Callithrix jacchus: one gene and its partners. The protein of the gene in region 3 interacts with the protein of the main gene of each other region in a biochemical or structural test. Links are inferred from orthologs where the notes say so. Each region holds a gene or a part of one and is shown on either strand. Other genes may lie near its edges. The genes, in order: CDKN1C, CRYAB, CCND1, RB1, CDK6 and ESR1.

The links.
Region 1: the proteins of CCND1 (region 3) and CDKN1C form a complex in vitro, tested with the Homo sapiens proteins (2 studies listed by BioGRID). The link is inferred for Callithrix jacchus from reciprocal best matches to the Homo sapiens genes CCND1 and CDKN1C.
Region 2: of the proteins of CCND1 (region 3) and CRYAB, one has a biochemical effect on the other in vitro, tested with the Homo sapiens proteins (2 studies listed by BioGRID, with this or other methods). The link is inferred for Callithrix jacchus from reciprocal best matches to the Homo sapiens genes CCND1 and CRYAB.
Region 4: of the proteins of CCND1 (region 3) and RB1, one has a biochemical effect on the other in vitro, tested with the Homo sapiens proteins (15 studies listed by BioGRID, with this or other methods). The link is inferred for Callithrix jacchus from reciprocal best matches to the Homo sapiens genes CCND1 and RB1.
Region 5: the proteins of CCND1 (region 3) and CDK6 form a complex in vitro, tested with the Homo sapiens proteins (3 studies listed by BioGRID and IntAct, with this or other methods). The link is inferred for Callithrix jacchus from reciprocal best matches to the Homo sapiens genes CCND1 and CDK6.
Region 6: the proteins of CCND1 (region 3) and ESR1 form a complex in vitro, tested with the Homo sapiens proteins (2 studies listed by BioGRID). The link is inferred for Callithrix jacchus from reciprocal best matches to the Homo sapiens genes CCND1 and ESR1.

The regions. Positions count from the first base shown.
Region 1 is NC_133511.1:128,973,932-128,977,965, reverse strand, and holds CDKN1C (cyclin-dependent kinase inhibitor 1C), read right to left. Parts: upstream 2,801-4,034; 5' UTR 2,700-2,800; coding exon 1,760-2,699; intron 1,225-1,759; coding exon 1,094-1,224; 3' UTR 1,089-1,093; intron 999-1,088; 3' UTR 302-998; downstream 1-301. Other genes in the region: uncharacterized protein LOC118145682, read right to left, coding at 3,098-3,835. UniProt on the Homo sapiens protein: Potent tight-binding inhibitor of several G1 cyclin/CDK complexes (cyclin E-CDK2, cyclin D2-CDK4, and cyclin A-CDK2) and, to lesser extent, of the mitotic cyclin B-CDC2. Negative regulator of cell proliferation.
Region 2 is NC_133511.1:11,616,960-11,621,004, reverse strand, and holds the start of CRYAB (alpha-crystallin B chain), read left to right. Parts: upstream 1-1,245; 5' UTR 1,246-1,291; coding exon 1,292-1,492; intron 1,493-2,363; exon of another isoform or gene 2,364-2,497; coding exon of another isoform or gene 2,498-2,533; intron 2,534-2,607; coding exon 2,608-2,730; intron 2,731-4,045. Other genes in the region: HSPB2 (heat shock protein beta-2), read right to left, coding at 115-208; uncharacterized protein LOC118145697, read left to right, coding at 1,094-1,151. UniProt on the Homo sapiens protein: May contribute to the transparency and refractive index of the lens. Has chaperone-like activity, preventing aggregation of various proteins under a wide range of stress conditions.
Region 3 is NC_133511.1:126,558,929-126,563,144, reverse strand, and holds the start of CCND1 (G1/S-specific cyclin-D1), read right to left. Parts: upstream 2,801-4,216; 5' UTR 2,718-2,800; coding exon 2,496-2,717; intron 1,804-2,495; coding exon 1,588-1,803; intron 1,098-1,587; coding exon 938-1,097; intron 1-937. UniProt on the Homo sapiens protein: Regulatory component of the cyclin D1-CDK4 (DC) complex that phosphorylates and inhibits members of the retinoblastoma (RB) protein family including RB1 and regulates the cell-cycle during G(1)/S transition.
Region 4 is NC_133502.1:67,635,181-67,638,680, forward strand, and holds part of RB1 (retinoblastoma-associated protein), read right to left. Parts: intron 3,036-3,500; coding exon 2,909-3,035; intron 1-2,908. UniProt on the Homo sapiens protein: Tumor suppressor that is a key regulator of the G1/S transition of the cell cycle. The hypophosphorylated form binds transcription regulators of the E2F family, preventing transcription of E2F-responsive genes.
Region 5 is NC_133512.1:56,894,362-56,897,861, reverse strand, and holds part of CDK6 (cyclin-dependent kinase 6), read right to left. Parts: intron 1,474-3,500; coding exon 1,306-1,473; intron 1-1,305. UniProt on the Homo sapiens protein: Serine/threonine-protein kinase involved in the control of the cell cycle and differentiation; promotes G1/S transition. Phosphorylates pRB/RB1 and NPM1.
Region 6 is NC_133505.1:158,786,676-158,790,175, reverse strand, and holds part of ESR1 (estrogen receptor), read right to left. Parts: intron 2,607-3,500; coding exon 2,271-2,606; intron 1-2,270.

The DNA of each region.
Region 1 (4,034 bases), about 2.4 Mb from region 3:
ACAAGCCTGGGTCTGGGCAGCAAGTCAGGGGCTGTGCTGCCTGCCTGCTGGGGCTACGTGAAGCCCACACTTGTCTTTCTGCAGCCCCGAAGGTGGAAGGTGATAAATGTGGGGTGCAGTGCCGGCCAGCTGCCCCTCCTGAGATAAGGTGACTGGAGCAGGCGGGAGTGGGCCAGGCCCAGCCGGGAGAGAGGCTTCCCCTTTTGGACTGGGGATGGCCACTTTGGCCTGCTCTCTCCTGCGTTCTAGCTCTCCAGCTTTGGGGGTGCAGGAGGCAGGCACAAGCACAAACAGACTGGAGTTGCAGCATCTTTCGGCCTCTTTATTTAGAACCCGGCGGACGAGGGGCCGGGGCAGTGGTACAGTCGGCTCAGGAACCATTTTAACAGATTTGTCTTCAAGTTTAAGATAAACACAGTAATAGTAAGAGAGAGCGAAAGCGCGAAGAGAATGCAAGCTAGGTGGGCGTGATGGCAGCTACAGCTTGTGAGTGACCCCTTTCCCCAGAGTCCGCTATGAGAATAAAGTTATACACTTGTCAATAACGGGACGATGTGGGAGGTGGAGGTGCCTTTGGCATAACCAATAACCGAGCTAGTGCGTGGCAGAGCGGTCCACGCCTGGACATAAATAGAAAATATAAGTTAGTATAACTTTAAAAACTTTTTGTACAAATATACATGGTTTTTTTTATTTTTTACTTTTTTTTTACTTTTTTCTTTTTTTTTGCACTGAGTTTCAGCAGAGATTAAACATTTTATATAAATGACTCTTAAAGCTTTACACCTTGGGACCAGTGTACCTTCTCGTGCAGAATACATTTAGATATAAAAAGACGTAATCAATACATTGCACAGTTTTCAGAATTTAAACACCGAACGCTGCTCTGCGGCAGCCGCCGCCGGTTGCTGCTACATGAACGGTCCCAGCCGAGGCCCCAGCGCCCTTCCAACGTCCGCTGCCCCGGCAGGTTCCCTCGGGGCTCTTTGGGCTCTAAACTGCGGAGCGGGGGAGAGAGGGGAGGTCAGCAAAGTCCGAGAGCACCCCGCAGGAAGGCCCCCCGCGCCCCCCAGGTGCGCCGTACTCACTTGGCTCACCGCAGCCTCTTGCGCGGGGTCTGCTCCACCGAGCCCACGCCGGGGGCGCCGCTGGGAGCGGGACACGGCGGGGGGACCTCTCCCGACGCCTTCTCAGGCGCAGATCTCTTGCGCTTGGCGAAGAAATCTGCGGGCGACAGCGCGCACGGCCGGTCAGGGCGGGGCCGGCCGAGAGACCCAAGAGGGGGCCGGGAGAGGGCTTGGGGCGCGGGCTGGCCGGGGTGGGGGCGCCGTCCCTGCCCGCGCCGAGGTCTGCGGCGGGTCAGCTTTGTTTACGTCGCCGCGCAATGTGCTGTGTAAGCATTTCCCCTTGTCCCGCGGCCAAGCCCCCCGGGGCCGCCGCTGCGCTTAACCCCCTCCGCGCCGCGATCACGACGCCCGGCGGCGCCCGGGGAGGGTCTCCTGTGGCCGGGGGTGAAGGCTGCGCTCCCGGGGGGTCGCCGCCGGGGCTCCTCCTCCCACCCCGCCCGCGCAAGCCGCTCGAGGGCACGACCACGGGGCAGGGAGGGGGGTGAGGGCGCAGCCGCGCCCTGAGCGCTGCGGGCCCTTTAATGCCACGGGAGGAGGCGGGAACCCAGCGAGGCCCCCCGAGGGCTGGGGAGACCGGCCGGCGGGACAAAGCGGGGCCGGGCCGGGCCGGGGCGGGGCCGTGCGGGGCTCACCGGAGATCAGAGGCCCGGACAGCTTCTTGATCGCCGCGCCGTTGGCGCTGGCAGCAGCGGTGCCGGCCGCTGGACGTCCCGAAATCCCCGAGTGCAGCTGGTCAGCGAGAGGCTCCTGGCCGCGCTGCCCCTGGTTCGCGCCCTGCTCGGCACTCTCTTGAGGAGCCGCGTCCGGGGCCGGGCCCGGGGCGGGGGCCGGAGCCAAGGCCGGGCCCGGAACCGGGACCGGAGCTGGGACCGGGGCCGGGGCCGGGGCTGGGGCCGCGACCGGAGCCGGGGCCGGAGCCAGAACCGGAGCCAGAACCGGAGCCGGGGCCACGACCGGGGCCAAGACCGGGGCCACGACCGGGGCCGCGACCGGACCTGCGATCAGACCCGGAGCCACGACTGGAGCCGGGACCGGAGCCGGGATCTGAGCCGGGATCAGACCCGGAGCCACGACCGGAGCCACGTCCGGAACCGCGACCGGGGCCGGAGCCAGGACTGGGGCTGGGGGCGGGGTGGACGCCGGGGCCGGGACCGGGACATTAGGCAGCTGCTCCGGCGCCTCCTCGAGGCCGTCGAGGGACTCAGCGTCCGGCTCGAGGGGCGGGCTGACAGCCACCGCGACCGCGACGGGCCGCGGCGCCAGCAGCAGGCGGCAGCGCCCCACCTGCACCGTCTCGCGGTAGAACGCGGGCACCGACTCGCTGTCCACTTCGGTCCACTGCAGGCGTCCGGGGCCCCGCAGCGGCATGTCCTGCTGGAAGTCGTAGTCCCAGCGATTCTGGTCCTCGGCGTTCAGCTCGGCCAGGCGGGCCTGCAGCTCGCGGCTCAGCTCCTCGTGGTCCACCGGGCCGAAGAGGCTGCGGCAGGCGCTGGTGCGCACAAGTACTGGGAAGGTCCCACGGGCGACAAGACGCTCCATCACGGATGTGCTGCGGAGGGACGCGTCGGACATGGCCCGGGACTGCGCGATCGCGGGCAGCGGGAGAGGAGAGGACAGCGAGAAGAGGGGGAAGAGGACAGGAGGAGAGGGCGGAGGCCGGGCGCGAGGGAGACCCCGCGCAGCCCGACGCCGCGTGTGCGGGGGACGCGGCGGAAGGGCGGGCGCGGCGGCTACCTGGCGGTCGGGTCGAACACTCTCCTGCGTGGAATTCGCTGGTCTGGTCGGGCCGGCAACCGCGCCCCCTCGATGCCTGCTGGCTCGCTCGCTGCTCGGGCCTGGCTGGCACCCCTCGAGCACAGCGCACTTGGCCTGTGGAACGCCCAGCCCGCCTGCGCCCGCTTTATACGCGCGGGCCCCACCCCCGTGCGCGCGGGCCCGGCCGCGATTAGCATAATGTAGTATTTTCAGTTTCAACAACACCGCGGCGATTGGCCCCCGCCCCGCCGCCCCGCCCCTTCGCGGCCCCGCCCCCGCGCGCCGCCCATTGGCCGCGAGCACACCCACCGAGGGCGAGGCGGGGCGCGCGGCCGGGGCGCGCGGCTGATTGGCGGCCGCGGGGTGAGCGCGCTGTAGCAGGGGAAGGGGGCGGTGAGCGGGGCGGGGGCGGGAGTTAAAGGGCGCTGCGGGCGGTAACGTGACACCGCGACGCCCCGCCCCCTCGCCCCATCCCCCCCGCTGCCCCCCCCCCCCCGGCTCCCGCCCCCCGCCGGCTCCTTTGTCTGCAGGCGGGGGCCTCGGTCCAGCGCGGCAGGGGCCGGCTCCCGGCGGGTCCGGTGTCCGGCCAGGCCCCGCGCGACCCCGGCCCGGTCCGGACCCCGGCGCCCAGCCCCGTCCCGTGCTCGCCCCTGGGCCTCCTGCGCCGGCTGACGGGACTTGGACCCGCCGCTGCCAGCTCGGCCCCGGCCTGCGCCGGACGGGGTCTTCGGCTGCCCCCGCGCGGCCTGCTGCGGCTGCTGGGTTGTGTCCCTTCGAAGGGTCCGCGCACCTGGAGCCCTCACACACCTGCCGGCCCGAAGGCCCTCGAGTCGGGAAGGGGGGACGGGGTCAGCTCCACTCTTTCCCGGAGGGACCATGTGTAGGACACTTGGAGAGGCGCCCAGCAGCCCCCTGGGGCTGGAGAGAGAAGCCGCCATCTGCGGAGGCCTACCCTGCCCAGTAGATGGAACACAGGCTTAGCCCAAACTGGGCTGCGCCCATCATGTCACTGTCGGGGGTCCCGGCCCCCCTCAGCCTTGGGCCAGGCCACCCCAGCCCCGGGATCGGCCTGTTCAGGCTGCTTGGAGGCTGCTGTACTGGGTAAAAGTGAAAGATCTGCCTGAGGTCATAGGGGAAGGGGCTGAGAAGGAC
Region 2 (4,045 bases), about 110 Mb from region 3:
ATGACTGGCTTCAGGAGATCAGTTAAGCCGAGTGGGGTGGAAGCCAGTAACGCTGGGAGGTCAGCCCAGAATTTCGGGAGGGTGGGAGGCAAGGGGGTGGCGTCTGTGCCATACCTTCTCCAAAGCGCTGCTCACCCAGGCGACTCGGGTTGGCAAATTCGTACTCGGCGGTGGCTGGGTGGGCATGTGGCACTGAGCGGCCCGACATGGCTGCAGAAGCAGCGGAAGCCCTGGTCCGAGGTGCAGCCCCAACAGACGCAGCGCGACCCCTCCAGCTGCCGGGAGAGCTAGGGCTCAATAGGAGGTGGGGGCGGGGTCGACACCACCCAAAATAGTGCCGTGCCTCTGCGGGGGAGGGGTGGGGAGTGGGGGCCCTCAGTGAGAGCAACAGGGTGTAACCAGTGCCGCCCGGACCCCTAGTCCCCTCCCCCGAACACTTCAGCTGTTGCAGGGGGTCTGAGAGGACAGCTGAAGGTCCTGGCTGGGAACAAGCTGGGGAGGGGGAGCTAGTGGTGTCTAGGACATGAAGAGGCCTTGCTGAGACCCTCACGAACGGTTTCCACGTTTCCACAGCACATTTCCTCCTCCTCAGTGGCAGGCACTGTGCACCCAATAAATTCCTAAAGCTCTCCTGGATTTAATTAATGTTCTGAGAGCCACATAGGATGAAAGATGCAAGAAGTCTTTTGCTCTTTCTTCAGGGGTGAGGTCTTTCTGCCCAGATGTCAGGGTCCTCCCCTGAACCCAGGTCAACCCAGGGCACGAGGCAGATGGCTGGTACTGACATGTTGACCATCACTGCTCTCTTCTAAGGACTCACAAAGAGTTAATGTCCCTGGGGCCCAGCCTAGGAAGATTCCAGTCCCTGCCCAGGCCCAAGATAGTTGCTGGCCTGATTCCCTTGGCATGCAGGACTGGAGAGGAGGAGGAGGGGCACACCCCCCTATGCCTGCTTGGGATTCCTGACTCTGTCCCAGCTTCAGAGAACAGGGGTGGGGGTGGGTGCCCATTGGGTGTGGACAGAAAGCTAGTGAAACAAGACCATGACAAGTCACTGGCCAGCTCAGACGTGTTTGTGTTTCTCTTTTCTTAGCTCAGTGAGTACTGGGTATGTGTCACACTGCCAAATCCCCGATCACAAGTCTCCATGAACCGGCAGTGAGCTAGGATAATAAAACCCCTGACATCACCATTCCAGAAGCTTCACAAGACCGCATATATAAGGGGCTGGCTGTAGCTGCAGCTGAAGGAGCTGACCAGCCAGCTGACCCCCAACACTCACCTAGCCACCATGGACATCGCCATCCACCACCCCTGGATCCGCCGCCCCTTCTTTCCTTTCCACTCCCCCAGCCGCCTCTTTGACCAGTTCTTCGGAGAGCACCTGTTGGAGTCTGATCTTTTCCCAACATCTACTTCCCTGAGCCCCTTCTACCTTCGGCCACCCTCTTTCCTGCGGGCACCAAGCTGGTTTGACACTGGACTCTCAGAGGTGAGTCTTCCCCTCCCAGGATGGGAGAGTCCTTACTGGAACATCCTGGAAACTTCTCCATCCATTTTTCTTTCCTTCCCTGCCTAAACAATTTTAGGCACATGTGTGTCCAAAAGTGAAGAAAAATGAGGTTGCTAGTGCCTTCCTCCCCTGTCAGCTATTTCTATTTGATGGTCCTCTGTATCCCATTTATTACATTTTTCTATGCACCGTCGAGTTCATCCTCTGTCCCCTAACTTCTCTCTGCAGGATACCCCTTTCTAGTTTGGTTCATAACGATCTGCAGGGAAAGAGCTGCCTTCGAACTCCTTTACTCATCTCTTCTAACACCTCAGACTCTTGACCAATTTTACCATCTCAGGTTTCAGAGCCAGGAGAGAGCCCTGCCTCATCCTGAGCTGTTCATCCCCACTGGGTGGAGCTGGGGCCAACCACCACTATTTTCTGCCTTTCTATTCCTTCTTCTAGGATTTTCTGGGTCCCTTAAGGCTGTGACAGAGCACTGGCCTGGGTCCAACCAAGCCTTATGAGGAAACAATATAGGTCTAGTCTTGGGATCCCCCACTTGTCCTGAGAGGGTGGGAGAAAAGGGTGAACAAATAAGGTTGACCGAAGCTGTTACAGATAACACTCTGGTTTAAAAATATTTGAGTGTGAGTAAACAGGACCTGAGTGGGCAAGGGCTTTGGAAGGACAAGCAGGACCAGCAGAACATTCCAGATTGGGTGGGTGGAAAACTGGCAAAGAGACCTGAGCAAGAAGAAGAAAGGCCTTTGTCTCACAGACAAACCACAAAGCCAGGCATTGGAGTCAGAGAGGCAGCAGATGCCAGGCCTGCACCCATCTTTGTGACTGGTCCCCTGGGTGATCTGTCTTCTTCTCTGTCCCTGGAAATAAAGTTTAGGTCTGATCACCACGAGCCTTAGGTATCACTATGGTGGCTCCCTGAAGCAGAGAGCCGTGTTTATTTAAAAAGGCGATTTTCTTTAAGCAGAAAAAAGAAGGATGAATTACCTGGACAGAAAGCAACTCTGCAGAATGGTAAGACAGCACCAGTATAATTAGTATTTTTGCCATCTTTTTCCAACCCCATTCTCTTACCTTGCTATTTTTAGATGCGCCTGGAGAAGGACAGGTTCTCTGTCAACCTGGATGTGAAGCACTTCTCCCCAGAGGAACTCAAAGTTAAGGTGCTGGGAGATGTGATTGAGGTGCATGGCAAACATGAAGAGCGCCAGGTATGTAGCTTGTTTTTGGTTTTTGTTTTCTGCTCATTCATTCAGTGCATACTGTAATAGTCTCAGTAGAGCTCTCAGCTTCGGAGGCTGGCTACATTCCAGTCCCAAGCCATAACGGTCTGGATCAGGGCTTACAAATCAATGTCTGGAAGACTAAGTTAGGGAGAGACCTACTGCTGTCATGACTGTTGTTATGGCCAGAGATGCGGCTTTTGTTTTATTTGATCACCTTAGATGGGATGCTGATGCCCCATCAAGGCCAGTGGTTCTGAATCTCGGCCACATTAGAATCACCAGGGGAACTTTCAAAAATCCTAATGCTCAGGCATACCCCAGACCAATTCAGTCAGAATTTTTAGGGATGGGACCCAGACATCAGCATTTTTTAAGGTGATTCTAATCTACAGTCAAGGTTGAGAACCACCGATTTAGGGTTAGGGTTGTAAGACACCTAGTTGCTTTGCATAATTACATTAACTACATGTACCCTGAAGGCTCTTGAGTTGTGACTTCTCTTTACTTGTGCAAGAATCCACGTTTCATCTTTAGTCCATCTTAATGCTGAACCACTTGGTTTGTCTAAATTTCAGTCTTCAGTCCCCCTGTAGCCTATGTGGAAATCAGTTAATGAGAGCCTGTTTGGTTACATGCTTGAGAGTCGGCAGGCATACGGGTAAAGGTCACCTACCCTTTGTGGGAATTCTGACGAATGGAACAGCTTCTCATGACTTTGTGAGAGGGCTTTAAAATTGTTTCTTACCAATTAATGATAGCTCAGAACCTGTGCATCAACTAGTACAGTTTGTCCTTAGTAACGTCCTCGAGCTGTTTCCATTTTGCTCATATGATTTAGGTTTGGGTTATAGTCTCCTTGGATGGAGTCATTTTTCTTCTTCTTCTTCTTTTTTTTTTTTTGCAGCAGTCCTATTGTTCTGGAACATTCTGGGACATTCCTGAAGAGTCAGGACAATTTCCGGGTTTCCTCAGGGACTCAGATTCTAAATGAGATTCCAAATTCTGTAGGCCCAGCCAACAGAATTTGATCTAAACCTTTGGGAAATACCCCTAAACATGTCTATGCCTCTGGGTTTGAAAAACAATGATGTATTGGGCTGTTTCAGACTTCTCAGATTCTCACTGGTAGGAATGACTCTACCTAGGCAACTTCATCTTAACTCCAAACCTGAAACAAAGAATTATTTATTCTTCCTATGTTGTCATGGCATCTGGTCTCACCTAAGGGGAAATCGGGATGCTTGAGTTCTGGGCAGGTGATAATATTTCCTGTTTTTATTTCTCTGCCTCTTTCCTCATT
Region 3 (4,216 bases):
AAACCATTCTGGAATAATACACTAACTGCTGGCTACCTGTGTCAGAGGGTGCGCTGAAATAGGTTTGGGGGGGCTCTGCCCTCAAGGGATTGGGGGAGAAGATGCTATTGTGTCTTTGATGTCCCGGACCTTGTGGCCTGTCACCCAGAGTGAGCCCACAAACAGATGTGACAACTGAGGCTTGACCAAAAGGGGGCAGGGCCCCCCCATCAGGGTAACCAGGGAAGGAGGCGCACAGGGGGGTCAGAGGCAGGGCTGGGGACAGCAGGAGGCAGCACCCTGTGTATGCATGTGTCTATCCCAGTTGGGTCCTGGGGCCAGGGCCATGCCAGCGGAGGTGAGGACTGGGTACTTCTGCTGCCCACGGTGGCGGCCTAAGCTGAGACTGCTCTGAAGTGCTCCCCAGGGCTCAGCTGAGCCCAGCAGACTGGCGGCACCCCTGGCAGGGCCTCAGGCAGCTGAGCTCCTCTGCTGGACACCCCTGCACTCAGCTGCCCAGAACACGTGGTGCAGGCGGGCCGACAGCTCTCCCCGCCCCCGGAGGCGCCTCTGGCAAGTCGCCCAGCCTGGGAGAGGCCAGGAGGGGGCCCCCGCAGCTCAGGCTCCTTAAGGACACAAGAAGGGCTGGAGGTCGGTGGGGAAAGGAGGCGGCCCTGCGGCCAAGGTAAACCCCTTTCGGCCTGGAGGATGAGGCCACAGCATCTAGACACAGGCAGGCTGGCTGCGTGGTGGCGCGGCCGTAAGGGCAAATCCCCTTCCATCCAGCGCAAACAAGCCAGCACCTCTGCTCACCAGAGCTGGAAGAACTCTTCCCAGCGCAGGCGGGGGCCTAGGGACGTCCTCCGGGACAGCACCCAGGTGCAGAGCAAGAAGCTGGCCAGGCCACCTAAGGTGCTGGCTTTCAAGGGGAGGCTGGGGGCGGCTGGGCCTGCCCTACCTGTAGCGCAGAGGGCAACGAAGGTCTGCGCGTGTTTGCGGATGATCTGTTTGTTCTCCTCCGCCTCTGGCATTTTGGAGAGGAAGTGTTCGATGAAATCGTGCGGGGTCATGGCGGCCAGGTTCCACTTGAGCTTGTTCACCAGGAGCAGCTCCATTTGCTGCGAACACAGGGTGAGCGGCTATCAGGGGAGGTGCGGGCCGGCCTGGGGACGCGGGGAAGCCGGCAGTATGGCCCTAGCCCCTGAGTCTCGTGTGGTCCTGGGGGTGCGGGAGCAGGACTGGCGAATGCTGGGGGGTCCAGGAAGCTGGGGCAACACACGATCCCAGATCAAAACAGAAAAGGCGCCCGCCGCGTGAAAAGATTCTGCAAGTGGAAACAAAAAGACTTCCCACCACCTGGAACGGAAGGCTCAGCGTGGAGCGCGGCGTTCCCGGTGCAGCCGCTGGAGGGCGCGCGCCGCCCATTTTTCGGCCACACCGCAGAGCGCTAACGAGGTGGGAGTCGCAGGCAAGCGCGCACGGGGCGGCTAGGATCCCACCCGCTCCCAGGACGAGGACACCCGGCAAAGGGGCCGCCTGCCGCCCCTGCACCTTCCCCGGCCCGGTGGTCCTGCGGCTCGCGGGGGGCGGCGGGGGTCCCGCGGTTACCAGCAGCTCCTCGGGCTGGATGGAGTTGTCGGTGTAGATGCACAGCTTCTCGGCCGTCAGGGGGATGGTCTCCTTCATCTTAGAGGCCACGAACATGCAGGTGGCCCCCAGCAGCTGCAGGCGGCTCTTTTTCACTGGCTCCAGCGACAGGAAGCGGTCCAGGTAGTTCATGGCCAGCGGGAAGACCTCCTCCTCGCACTTCTGCTCCTCGCAGACCTGCGGGGGCACGGGGCCCGTGACCGCCGCCGCCAGGTCGCGCCACCCCCACCCCACTCCCCCGCCCTCGCATGCCCATCGCGCTCGGCAGGACCACCAGTTCTGGAGGGCGCCGAGGGGTCGGGGCCGGGGGCGGCAGAAGCTTCCTGTGATGCGCCCCCTCTCGCGCGCGTCCCGAGTATCCACCCTCCCTGAAACTGAAAGGGAAAGTCCCCGCGAGGCTGGCATGGTGGGGGCGGGAGCGGGCACAGCTGGGCGGCGGCGCGGGCTGCAGGCCCCGGGGACCCCAGCCCGCCCTGGAGCTCCGTGGCCCCTCTGGCTGTGGGTCGACACCCACTGGGGTGCGGGGCCGCGCAAAAGGCCGCGGGGTTGGGCGCCGCGCCTGCGAGACACAAAGGTGGCGTCCCAGGCCGCCGCGCCGCATTTCCCCAGACGTCATCTTTTCAAAAAATATTTAAAAATATTTAAAAAATAACTAAGTGCGTAAAAATACCCTGAAAATGACCCTCGGACGGCCCTTTACCCAGGCCGGGGGTCGGGAGTTTGTTACAGGGTCCGGGGGAAGCCCCAGGAATTCAAACTCCGGGGACCCCCTTCCCCCTGGGCGCGGGCGGTGTTTCCCTCTCGCAAGGGCACCACGCCGCACTTTCAAAAATTATTTAAAAATACTTGCGGGCCCCTCAGGCGCCTACCGAAGGTGTGAAAATGTTCTCCCAGGCCCCCGGCTCGCTCGGAGAAGGTCCCCCAAGCCGAGATCCCTGCAGACGGGGATCCAGCCCTGGCGTCTTGGGGGCCACGCGACCTTGCAGCTCGGCGTGCTCTCCGGCCCAGGCTGCCCGTGCGGGGCGCTTTGGGACTCGCTGCTTGAACAAAGGCCCCCCTTTCCCCAGCGGGGTCCCCCCAAAACTACCCATGCTGCGTCCCCGCGCCCCTCCCGCGGGCTCCGGGCAGCCGCCGGGCCCCTAGTTGCGGCCCCAGCGCCCGGCGGCCGCTCCCCGCCCCCACCCTGCCCCCAATTATTAATAAACACTTTTGCTGTGCAATAAAAGAGCAAAGATGGCGCATAATACTGGCACGAGAAGCCCTTGCATACGTGTCCATGGATAGTAATTTAAAAATCAAATCTATGCCCCCTCCCCCCGGAGTTGGAGGCTCTCGGCCGCGGCGGCCGGGAGAGGAGCCGCAGCATGGCTGGGGCGCAGGCGGGGGGCACAAAGCGCACCTAACCTGCCAGCCCGCACCCTCGGGCCCATTGGGGTGCTCCTGGCACTGGCTTCTCCTGGAGGCACCCCTCCCCGACCCCCTCCTCCCGTCCCAGGAAACGCAACTCCTAGCACCCCCACCCCCACCCCTTCCTTCTTCAGAAAATACCCACAATTTTTATTTTGAAAATACCTAGCAACACCCCGGCAAACTTCAAAGGTCTAGCGGGAGAGAAGAGAGGGGAGTGAGAAGCAAAGAAACGTGGGTATGGGCAACAAGTTGCAGGGAGGTCTTAAGAGAGCCGCCCGAAGCCCCGCACCTCCAGCATCCAGGTGGCCACGATCTTCCGCATGGACGGCAGGACCTCCTTCTGCACACATTTGAAGTAGGACACGGAGGGTGCGCAGGTCTCCTCCGCCTTCAGCATGGCCCGCAGCACCCGGTCGTTGAGGAGGTTGGCATCGGGGTAGGCGCGGCGGATGGCCTCCACTTCGCAGCACAGGAGCTGGTGTTCCATGGCTGGGGCTCTGCCTGGGCAGCTGGGGAGGGCTGTGGGTTCCGGCTGCGTCCGCGCTCGGCTCTCGCTCCTGCTGCCCCGCGCTCCCTCGCGCTCTTCTGCCCCTCGCCGGAGCGCGCGGACTCTGCTGCTCGCGGCTACTGCGCCGACAGCCCTCTGGAGGCTCCAGGACTTTGCAACTTCAACAAAACTCCCCTGTAGTCCGTGTGACGTTACTGTTGTTAAGCAGAGATCAAAGCCGGGCAGAGAATGGGAGCGGGAGGGGGCGGGGGCGGGCGCAGGGGGAGGGGGCGCGGGCGCCAAACGCCGGGAGCAGCGAGGGGCAGAGCCCAAAAGCCATCCCCGAGGCGCCGCGCCTGCCCTGCGGCGGAGTTGCCCCCGTAGTCCGGTTTTCATAGAAATGCAAATCGCCCCGCTGCAGCCTTTCTCCCCGCCAGAAAAGAGGGGTACAGGGGGCCCGGTCCGACTCGAACGGGTCCCCCGGGATTTGGGGGTGGGGTGGAGGTGGCTCTGCAGTAGGGGACAACTGGGAAGCCCCACAGGCCACACGCAGCCTAGGGAGACCACGAGGAGGGGGGACTCCGGGGCGCGGCGACACCCCATATCCAAGCCGGCAGAATCGGCGCATTTCCAAGAACGCCACGAGGGCACCCACGAGCGGACAGACGGCCAAAGAATCTCAGTTTCTGCATC
Region 4 (3,500 bases), on a different chromosome or scaffold from region 3:
CAGCTGTAAGCATGTTTTATGTATGCATAAACAAGTTTTCTGACCCTAAAGTACTTAAAAATAAGAATTTTAACAACCATACTACATCAAAATAGCTACAATGCATTTAAATTTTTAACCATTTTAACTAATACCCTAAGTTCTCCTTAAAAAAAAGTACATTAATGATAAAATGTTCCAGGGCAATTCTTAAGTAAAATTATTCTGTTTGCCATACCTAACATACACATTCGTTGACTCTAACAAGAGCTTTATATGCATTAATTTATTTAATCTGCACAGTAACTCCCCAAGATCCAGAAATTATTGTCAGTTCCTTTTACAGATAAGAAAACTAAGGCTTGAAAACTGTAAGTAACATGTTCAGGATCATGGAGCTAGTAAGTGGTATATCTGCTTGACTCTTAATCCTTACTCTTAACCCATCCATCCTCTATCCCAATAAACATCACCTACTTTCTACTGTCAAAAGGGTTTCCTTTTTGAAGGTTAAATTCTCAGGCCAACGCTCAAAAACTTAACTGCACTTAAAATCATATTTCAAGGACATCATCTTCTGCCATACCCTTCAAAAGCATACCTCAAATCCCAAAAGTAACATGAAATTCCTTTCTTACCTTCCTCCAGTACCTAGCCATAAATAATTTCACACATCCTAGTCCCCATCACAAGCTCCATTAGAAAATAAGATTTAAACTGGGCTAGTTCCCAGGGAAGGTAGAGACAAAGCCGGGATTTAAAAAGGGCAATAAAACAGTAACATTTGCATATATATATATTTTTTTTTTCAAATCTGAAGCTCAAAAAAGATTTTACTGTTAAAACTTTTATTGTTATAGTTCAGTACAAAAAAATAAGTTATGTGAACTAGGCTGGAAACCTAACTACAATATCACACTTGCAAACAGATTTGGAACACAATGCACTTATAAATTGAAAACTATAGTATGTATATACACTAATACTCTCTATAATCAGCCATCCCTTCCAAAATTTCTGAACACTAAAAATCTATTATTTTAGGAAGAGAAAAGTGAAGGCGCTCTGATCCGTTTAACTGTATATGCACAAAAACAGCTTTGTACATGAAGTTCCCAAGTCAGTTAAAATATAAATTAGATGCCTGGGGATTATAACACCCAAGTCATACATTCAAGATACTCAGTAATCCTCTCTTTTTAGATAAGAAGTATAAGACTATGTTCAATTCTTTGGAAATTACAACAGTTGTTTTCTCTTTTTTACTGCCAGAGATTTTTTTTTAATGGTTTTAAACAGTTTTCTTATAGGACATAAATAAACACATTTTGCTCTGTTAATCTGATCAGTAAAAACAGATACTCTTACACTACTATACTGAGACGGTAAATTCATTAAAAGTATCTGTCTGAAATGTAATCTAGCAATAATCATCAAGAGTTCATAGCTTTTGATGCAGTAATTCAACTTAAAAGAATTTATTCTAATAAAATAATCAGATATTCATTCATTAATTTATTTAACAAATTATCAAGGACTCACTTTGTACCAAGCATTACTCTTATGAATACATAGTTTATTACATTATTTTACAGCATCAAAAAGTTGGAAAAAGCCCAAATGTCCAATAATGGTGAGAGTTAACAAATTAAAATACATCCAATAGCTAAAATATAATACTCTCACTAGAAACTATATTAGAAAAAAAATTTAATAACATAAGAAAATGGTCATATTAGGAAAAAACAAGAAAATACAAAACTATGTAACTACACGTAATTATACATAACTATATATAATCTCAAATTTATATTTGAGATCTTATTTTCTAGGGACAAGGTTCTTATTTTTCTAGGGTCAAGTTACTCAACCGCACTCTACTTTGGTGTCTTCATCTTTAAAATGAAGATTTCACATAAAATAGAGATTTTATATTTCATATATCAATGGTCTTAAAATGAGTTATCTGTATATTTCTAAAGTTCTTTTTTTTTTCCTTTTTGAGATAGAGTCTTGCTTTGTTGCCCAGTCTGGAGTGCAGTGGCATTATCTTGCCTCACTGCAACCTTTGCTTCGCAGGTTCAAGCAACTCTCCTGCCTCAACCTCCCAAGTAGCCGGGATTACAGGCATCCACCACGATACCTGGCTATTTTTTGTATTTTTAGTAGAGATGGGGTTTCACCATGTTGGCCAGGCTGGTCTTGAACTCCTCAAGTGATCACCCACCTCGACCTCCCAAAGTACTGGGATTATAGGTTTGAGCCACTGTGTCCAGACTTATTTTTTTATTTTTTGGCAACAGGGTCTTGCTTTGTTGCCCAGGCTGCAGTGCAGTGGTGTGATCTTGGCTCACTATAACCTCCGCCTCCCAGGTTCAAGTAATCCTCCCACCTCAGCCTCCCAAGTAGCTGGGATTACAGGCATGCACCCCCACACCCAGCTATGTAAAGTTCTTATACTATTCCCCCAGTACATATAAAATACTGGTAATTTTTTGCTGCTGTTATTAAACATACACATATATACATATGCAAAGAAAAAATGAAAAGAATATATCAAAATATTTTCAAGATCCTGAATTCTAACAAAATTAATTATAAGACAATTAGGAAATCTGAACAGTGACTGCATATTAGAAGGTATACAAATTATTTTATAAGGTATGGTGGTTTTTTTTAAAAAGTCCTTGTATTATAGTGAATAAAATATAACTAAGACCTGCATTAAAATAGTTTGGTGGGAGGCATATATAGCGAGATTTTTTCCAAACATTTTTAATGTTACAAGAGGTAAATATCCTCTGAGTAATGGAATTATAATTAGCTTTTATTGTCTTTATATTTTTCTATCTTTCAATTTTCGTATAGTGATTTGAAGTTGTTTTTTAAATGAGAAAAAAAATTCAGAATGTTTTAAGAAAATCCTTACCAATACTCCATCCACAGATGAAACTTTCTCCCAAGTTAACCAAGCTCTCTCTCTGACATGATCTGGTATCTTTAATTTCTGACATAACGCTGTAAAATCAGGTTCTTCAGTTTCTTCAAACTCAACCCTATCAAATGAAAATAATCATATAATTGGCATATACTTATAAATCATATTAATTCAGTAAACACTTGTTTCAATAGTTTACACATTATAGCACTATTGTAAAAGAGAACATTACTAAATATCTTGAGATCTTATTTTACCTTAGAAAGAAATTATATTTCGAATTTAAATGTATCATTATCTTTTTCATGGTCATTGAAAAATAAGGCTACCACACAGTGAGAAATATTTGCTTGCATGGTGAGTCAAATATACTTTAGAGCAGCAAAACACTCCTGCAAAGGAAAGTAAATGTAATAGCTAAAGCTGTTTGGGAAAACAGCATAAGCATAACAACAAAAATATTAAAAACCCAAAGATAATATTATACAATTTAATGGCAGTAACTTTGCTAAACTGTAGTCTACTCTTATCAATGTTTCATATAATCTCTCTACCTACTAGCACATCTTACATGATGATACTG
Region 5 (3,500 bases), on a different chromosome or scaffold from region 3:
TTCTCTAAAGCAGTGGTGTATGCTGGGCAAAGAGGAAGCAAGTAGGATTTATCTCCTAACAATGGAAACATTTTCCAAGGAATCCTCTGCACTAAAAGTTCTGATGCCCCAGGAAAAGTCTATAGTGTTTGGAAAGTAATTGGTGTTACATGTCCAGGTGGTAGCACTCCTATTTTGATTGGGGGTAGGAGGTGGGGAACACTTTTATAAACTGGATTTTTTTCCTAAGGCAAGTTATCTGTCTCAGAGAATTTCCAGCTCCTCTCTTGAATTTCTACTTATCAGCTGAAGTATTACTGAAATTTGGGGAAACAATTTTTTTGCTGTACAGAATGACCAAAGATGCTGCCAATCATTTCTTAACAACAGGGCCGTGCTGTTGCTGATGTGAGAACCACTCTGAGGGTAAAGATGAACAACATGGCTTCTTTTTATTTTTTATTTCTTTGAATATACAAAGACATTTTCTTTTTCTAAAATTCTTTTTCTTAAGGCTGAATTTACTGTACAGAAGGTGTGAATTTACTGTATGCAAAATAGCTTTCTAAGAGAAGCACATTAACATCTATTTCCAGGCTGCTATGTTTGTATTTGAGGTGCAGAATTTCACAAAAATCCATCTGAGAAATAATAAACTATATGGAGAAATAGAAGCTAAGCAATGTCAATGGAGATTATGGTTTTGCACCTGAATGGCACAAAGAAACAGGATATCACAATTGTCATTTTCTGCCAAAACAGGGCCGTTGGGTTTGCTCTTTCTATTGAGGCTTATATGAGCCTTCACCTGGCATGGCAGTGTTAAAACATTCATGCATTATCCAAGTTCACTGTAAATTTGATTTCTTCTTTACAGCTGGCACCACAGATTCAGAGAAGTGATTTAACACACTTATGTAGACACTCTGTTTCTCAAACCAGGATGCTGCAGACAGGTCAACATTGCTTATACTCTTTCTTCCCTGACCTTGAGCTGTGTGTTCCCTGGGCATTGTGCATACAGCTCTGAAAACAGTGGTTATGGCAGAAAGCATTTGGAAACCTGTAACTGATTCCTGTCCAGTGGCTAAGACGCAACAGGCTATTTCTGCAATGGGTCCTGTTCACAACAAGCCCAGCCTGGATGTGACTGTAGCTGTAGGCAGAATGCTTTTTGCCTACCCACTGGCATATAAAAAAGGGCAAAGACATTCTATCAACCAACTAGCCATGGGCAGTACTAACATTAGGGACATGGAAGGGGGACAGACTGTTATTCAAAAGAGGAAAAGTAAGTTTACTAAAGGACAGCACTCTCCCACTCACCACTGAAGTTAGAGCCATCTGGAAACTGTAGATGCGGGCAAGGCCGAAGTCAGCGAGTTTTATTTGTCCATTGCTGGTCACCAGAATGTTTTGTGGTTTTAGATCGCGATGCACTACTCGGTGTGAATGAAGAAAGTCCAGACCTCGGAGAAGCTGAAACATCATATCCTAATAAAATAAAAAAAGAGAAAATCAATAAACGCTCAAAACAGAAGTTCAGCCTCAGCATTTTGTGGCTGCTTGGCACGCAGCAGGCATTTTGATAAGGATGGCTGATTGAGTGAATCTGTCTCCCTTCCTGCCTTTCCACTCCCACACTTTCAGCAACACTGCAAAAAGTTTCACTCTCAACCTGTATTTTATTAATGAAAGGACAATTTTAAAATATTTTTGATGGGACAGGAAATGTTCTAGAAGGTTATCTGTCAAACTGGTCTCAGTGGCTCATGCTGGGGGAAGGAAAGAAGAGGTCGTGATGGGACACTTTTTGCTTCTATATTGTTTAATGTGTCATTTCAACAATCAAAATCCAGTGTATAACAATATTGTTTTTAATGGTGATTATTATTTGATAGCACCTAATACCAAACACTCACTGTATGTCAAGCACTATTCTAAGCATTGTCCACTTTTAGGCAGGCTCTTGCTCTGTTACCCAGGCTGTAGCACAGGGGTGTGATGCAGCCTTGACTTCCTGGGCTCAAGAGACCCTTCTGCCTCAGCCTCCCAAGTAGCTGGGACCACAGGTGCACACAACCATGGTAGGCTGGTTTAGTTTTTGTAGAGACGGGGTCTCACTATATTGACTAGGGCGGTCTCAGACTCCTGGGCTCAAGCTATTCTCCTGCCTCAGCCTCCCAAAGTGCTGGGATTACAGGTGTGGGCCGCCATGCCCAGTTGTAATCAACTCTTTTAGAGTATTAACAGTCTTGATTTAAACTAGAGTCTGGAAAACCTCAATTCAAATCTCCGATGTATTCCTTTATCAAATCAATGAAAAAATGAGTATGTAAAATAAGGCAAGCCATTTAACCTCTCTAAGCCTTAGTTTCCCTCTCTGTAAAATGGGAAAGTAACAAAACCCACTTTATCAAAGGATTATTGTAAAGCACCTAGCACCAAGTTAATATTCAGTAAATGGCAGCTCTTATTACTGTTATTTTCAACCAGCATGGAGGAGAGGAGCATTCAGAATATAGACCAGTATCAGATCTTTTTCTAATTTTAGGATCAATATAAATATGTACAAGATTTAACACTCAGGAACAGTGTTGGAAAGTAGGAACTAAGACATTGGGCATGATGTCATGATCCTCTGAAATTTGTGATAATTAAGAGTGACCTACTCCCCCCACCCAAATATGAGAATGGTGTATACAAGGGAGGATGGAGCCATTTTGTTAATATAAGGGTTAGAAAAATGACTGGACACCCTCATGGATTTCAGAGCTGAAAGGGGCTATGAGGATACACTTATCGGTCAGATCACTGAATCCTCTGAGAACAGTATATCTGGTTACTGGTTTATGTTTTCGGTTACTGGTTTATGGTTTTGGTTCTTCCTTTAGAGTTGGGAGTTCTGCCTTTATATCCTAGCTTGTTTAAAACCTAAGCCTTAGTTTTTTCTTTTATTAGGTGGAGAAAGTAGCAATTACTTTTCCTACTATTAGGGGGGTAAATGAAGTAATGTATGCCAAGTGCTGGTGCAGTTTCTGGCATATGGTAAACATTTGACAAACAGTAATTATTAGGATGATTATTGTCAAGGTAAGTGTCCTGATTTCTCGGGGAGACAGAATCACAAACAACTAAAGGGAAACATGACCACTGCTACAAGATTGATGTGAACAAAGCACTTGAGGGGGCATGCAGTGACCTAGAATCATTTTTGAGATCCCCCTAAGTGAATATTCTGAACTGGCAGGGGTTACCTTCTAAGCTTCCCAAAACTCTGGAGAAGACTGTGTGGGGGAGGGAAAACCCTTCAAGACTTGAGAAACACTGCAGGTCCAATAAGTTGCAATGAATAAACAGGAGTGTGAAAATGTAGCACAAAATGTTCAAGAAGTCCTCTTCTGCTGTGGCAAATAAGTCTTTATTGGAAACACATGCACACAACTTGTAAGCACTGAATTTTAAAAAGCATGACTAACCTAAAGTAATGTCATGCTGGCTCTTCATCTTTAGCTTCTATA
Region 6 (3,500 bases), on a different chromosome or scaffold from region 3:
TGACTAATTTTATTTTGCTTGGTCAGACAAGTAGGCCTTTGATTTACAACAGCTGCTTTCCCATGGAACACACACACACACACACACACACACACACACACACGGTTTCATTTTTCGCCTTTATAATTGTTTTTTAAATGATCAAGTAAGAAGACATAGTTTATTCGTCTAAGGATTTTGGAATCATTCAGGTCTTTTAAACTAACATGATGCAATTATAGAGTGGTTTTGCTGTAGATCTTATTAGCATAAGTTTGCCGAGCTCTGGCTTTAATAATTGCATTTTAACAATTATTAGCCTATATATAATATTTTCCTTTCCTTGGCTTCTCCACTTTATTCTTAAATTCAGAAAATTATTGATGTGAATTCTTCAACCACTGGTAATATATTTGAGCTTAATTCCAGTTGTTTCAAATGTTCTTTAATATTTTATTGCTATAAAAATGTCATGATGGGAATCTACCGATACATAGGAAAATGTCTATACTTGAATTCAGCAGTACTCCAGGGCTAATATTACCAAGATTTTATGAGGGAAAATATATGTTTACAGGAAAATAAAAATAAACAGCAACCAAGAGTTGGTTCTCAAATATATGACCATTAGTTTCTTCCTTTGTTTCTCTTTCCCTAAAATATAAGAACAAGGCAATAACAAATATAAAGAAAAAAATTACAGCTACATGACAGTTAGATCCAGCAATTAACTTATAATGTATCTGCTTCATATAAAAATGCTAAAATATGTAAGTACTCAAGAAAACTTTTCATTCTGAAGATGACCAGGAATTTTTGTTTGCCAGCTCAACTGACACTGAAAACCTAAATTTGCCTGTCATTCTCCATGCTTCCATGTAACCTAATAACCACCCAAACCACCAAAACGGTGGCCTCTGACAAGGTTGGGTTCCGATACTGCTGGCTCCTTCTTCTACAGCCCACATATTTATATGCTGATAGATACAAATACATGTAAGATTCTCCAATTCCAAACATAAGTTCACTTGGGCTGTAACACAGCAGTGACCCTTGAAACACAAATACCAAACTCCACATTTTTTTAGTTTCATACAAAACATTTTGTGCTTCATAGGAAACAATTAATTGTATCTATTAAAAGAACCCAAATGAGAAAATGTCTAACTAAATCTATCACTCATTTTAACTATAAGCCCAGAAAAAAAATTTAGCTTCCTCTTGCCTCGATTCATCTACATTAGTTCCTGAATGGATACACTGGGGCAGGGAGAAAGTCATTTCCTAGTCTTGTTTCCACACACACTTGAGTTCTTCTCCCTGAGCAACAAGAGTAACAGTCTAATTTTACCACAATACCACTTCTGAGAGTCAACTAAAGGAGCAAGGTGTCACTTCAGCCACTGTGTCTCTAAAAGTTTCTTTCAGTGATGATACCTTAATTTATTTTTCCACTGTCTTTCTCTTTTTCCTAAAATACTAAGCATAAACTAGGTTGGATAAATAATTGGCATTCAGTAAATAACCTTATTATTATCTCTTTAATCCATAAAGATCTTTCTTAACTTTTTTTTAAGACATGGTCTTGCTGTCACCTGAGCTAGAGTGCAGTGGCACTCCATATAAACACGACTCACCGAAACCTTGACCTCCTGGGCTCAAGCCATCCTCTAGCCTCAGCCTCCCCAGTAGCTGGGACCACAGGTGTGTGCTACTGCACCCAGCTAATTTAAAAAAATTTTTTTGTAGAGACAGGGTTTCAAAATGTTACCCTGGCTGGCCTCAAACTCCTGGGCTCAAGCAATCTCCCACCTCAGCCCCCAAAAGTGCTAGGAGTACAGGCATGAGGCATCACACCCAATCTTAAAAATCTTTTCAAGATAAAATTGTTTTATTAATAATTGAGATGTTTTGAACAAAGGTCATTAAATATTAAAAACTTTCGTAGATCATTTAGTGTTAAAAGTTTCTGCTACTGTGAACATATACTATTAAATAGTTTTATCATGTAGTGTCCACCCTAAATCTTTTTGGTGAATAGATGGTTAAAAATAAATTATGTCAATTTAAAAATTTTAGTCTCTTAGATTTTGATTTCAAAATATTCTTTTCTAACATCCAGGAAAATTACAGTGTGTTGATACTGAAAATGAACACATCTCCTATAACCTTGAAACGAGTTACATAACAAGTTATTGCTTGCTTCTTTTTCTCCTACTATTTCTCCCAGGACATCACAACCAGTTCTTGAAAAGCTATTGACTCTTAAAAGCTGAGTTTCACATTCTTACCTGGTACCCTCTTTGCCCAGTTGATCATGTGAACCAGCTCCCTGTCTGCCAGGTTGGTCAGTAAGCCCATCATCGAAGCCTCACTGAAGGGTCTGGTAGGGTCGTACTCGGAATAGATTATGGGGGGCTCAGCATCCAACAAGGCACTGACCATCTGGTCAGCTGTCAGGGACAAGGCTGGGCTGTTCTTCTTAGAGTGTTTGATCATGAGCGGACTTGGCCAAAGGTTGGCAGCTCTCAGGTCTCCAGTGGACCCCACTTCATTCCTGCCCTCCCCATCATCTCTCTGGCGCTTGTGTTTCAACATTCTCCCTCCTCTTCGGTCTTTTCGTATCCCTGAAAACACAGGGGGAAAACAACCAATTAATTTATTTTTTTCCCATGTAAACTTTTATACAAAACAATCTTCAAAGCTAACCGTCTTTCATTTTATGTGAAGAAATACTCTCAAGCAAGGTGAGCTGGTAAGTGTTTCACAAGTGTGTCTCCAAGAGAAAAAGAAAAAGACTTTGATTTGTAGCAGTGGCCAGTGTTCATGGTGTAAATGCTGCCACCATCGCAAATTTCAGGCCACTTGTCTGATATCAAGTGGCTTATAAAACTCCTGAAAATTGAACAGTGGGTGCTCATGAGCCCAAACAAACTGACTCTGACACACCAGGTAGGGTTGTGTGTGTGTAACAGGTGTTATAACAAGAACAGAATTCTAATTAGTTATTCTTAAAATATGATTTAGCATCAAAGCCTACTTCTGCTAGTAATATTGTCTTAATAGTAAATTAAAAGACAGTTTTTAAAAGCATGTAGTCCAAGGAGATGGGCAAGAATAAATAAGAATGACTTGCTCATAAGGTATATTTGAACAAACATGTGACTGAAATATATATATATATATATGTTATATATGTGTTTTTATATATAATATATTAAATGACACTTTAAAAACGTAGAGACACCATGAACTCTTCCCATTTGCTCAGTGTTAAAATAAACCTTTCTCATGTAATAGTAAAAATTATAATAAAGATTGTTATTACTAATATGCATTCAGCACTTACTACATATTTTAAGCATTTACATACTTGGAAGCAGTTTAGAACTAATTTAGTTCTTACAATAATCTTGTTAAATTTGAGAAACCATTAGTGAAATTAACCAACTTGTACAAGATCATTCTCTATTAAGTATGATTCCAGATTCTGGCTCTGAAAAGAAGTTTGCATTAACAAG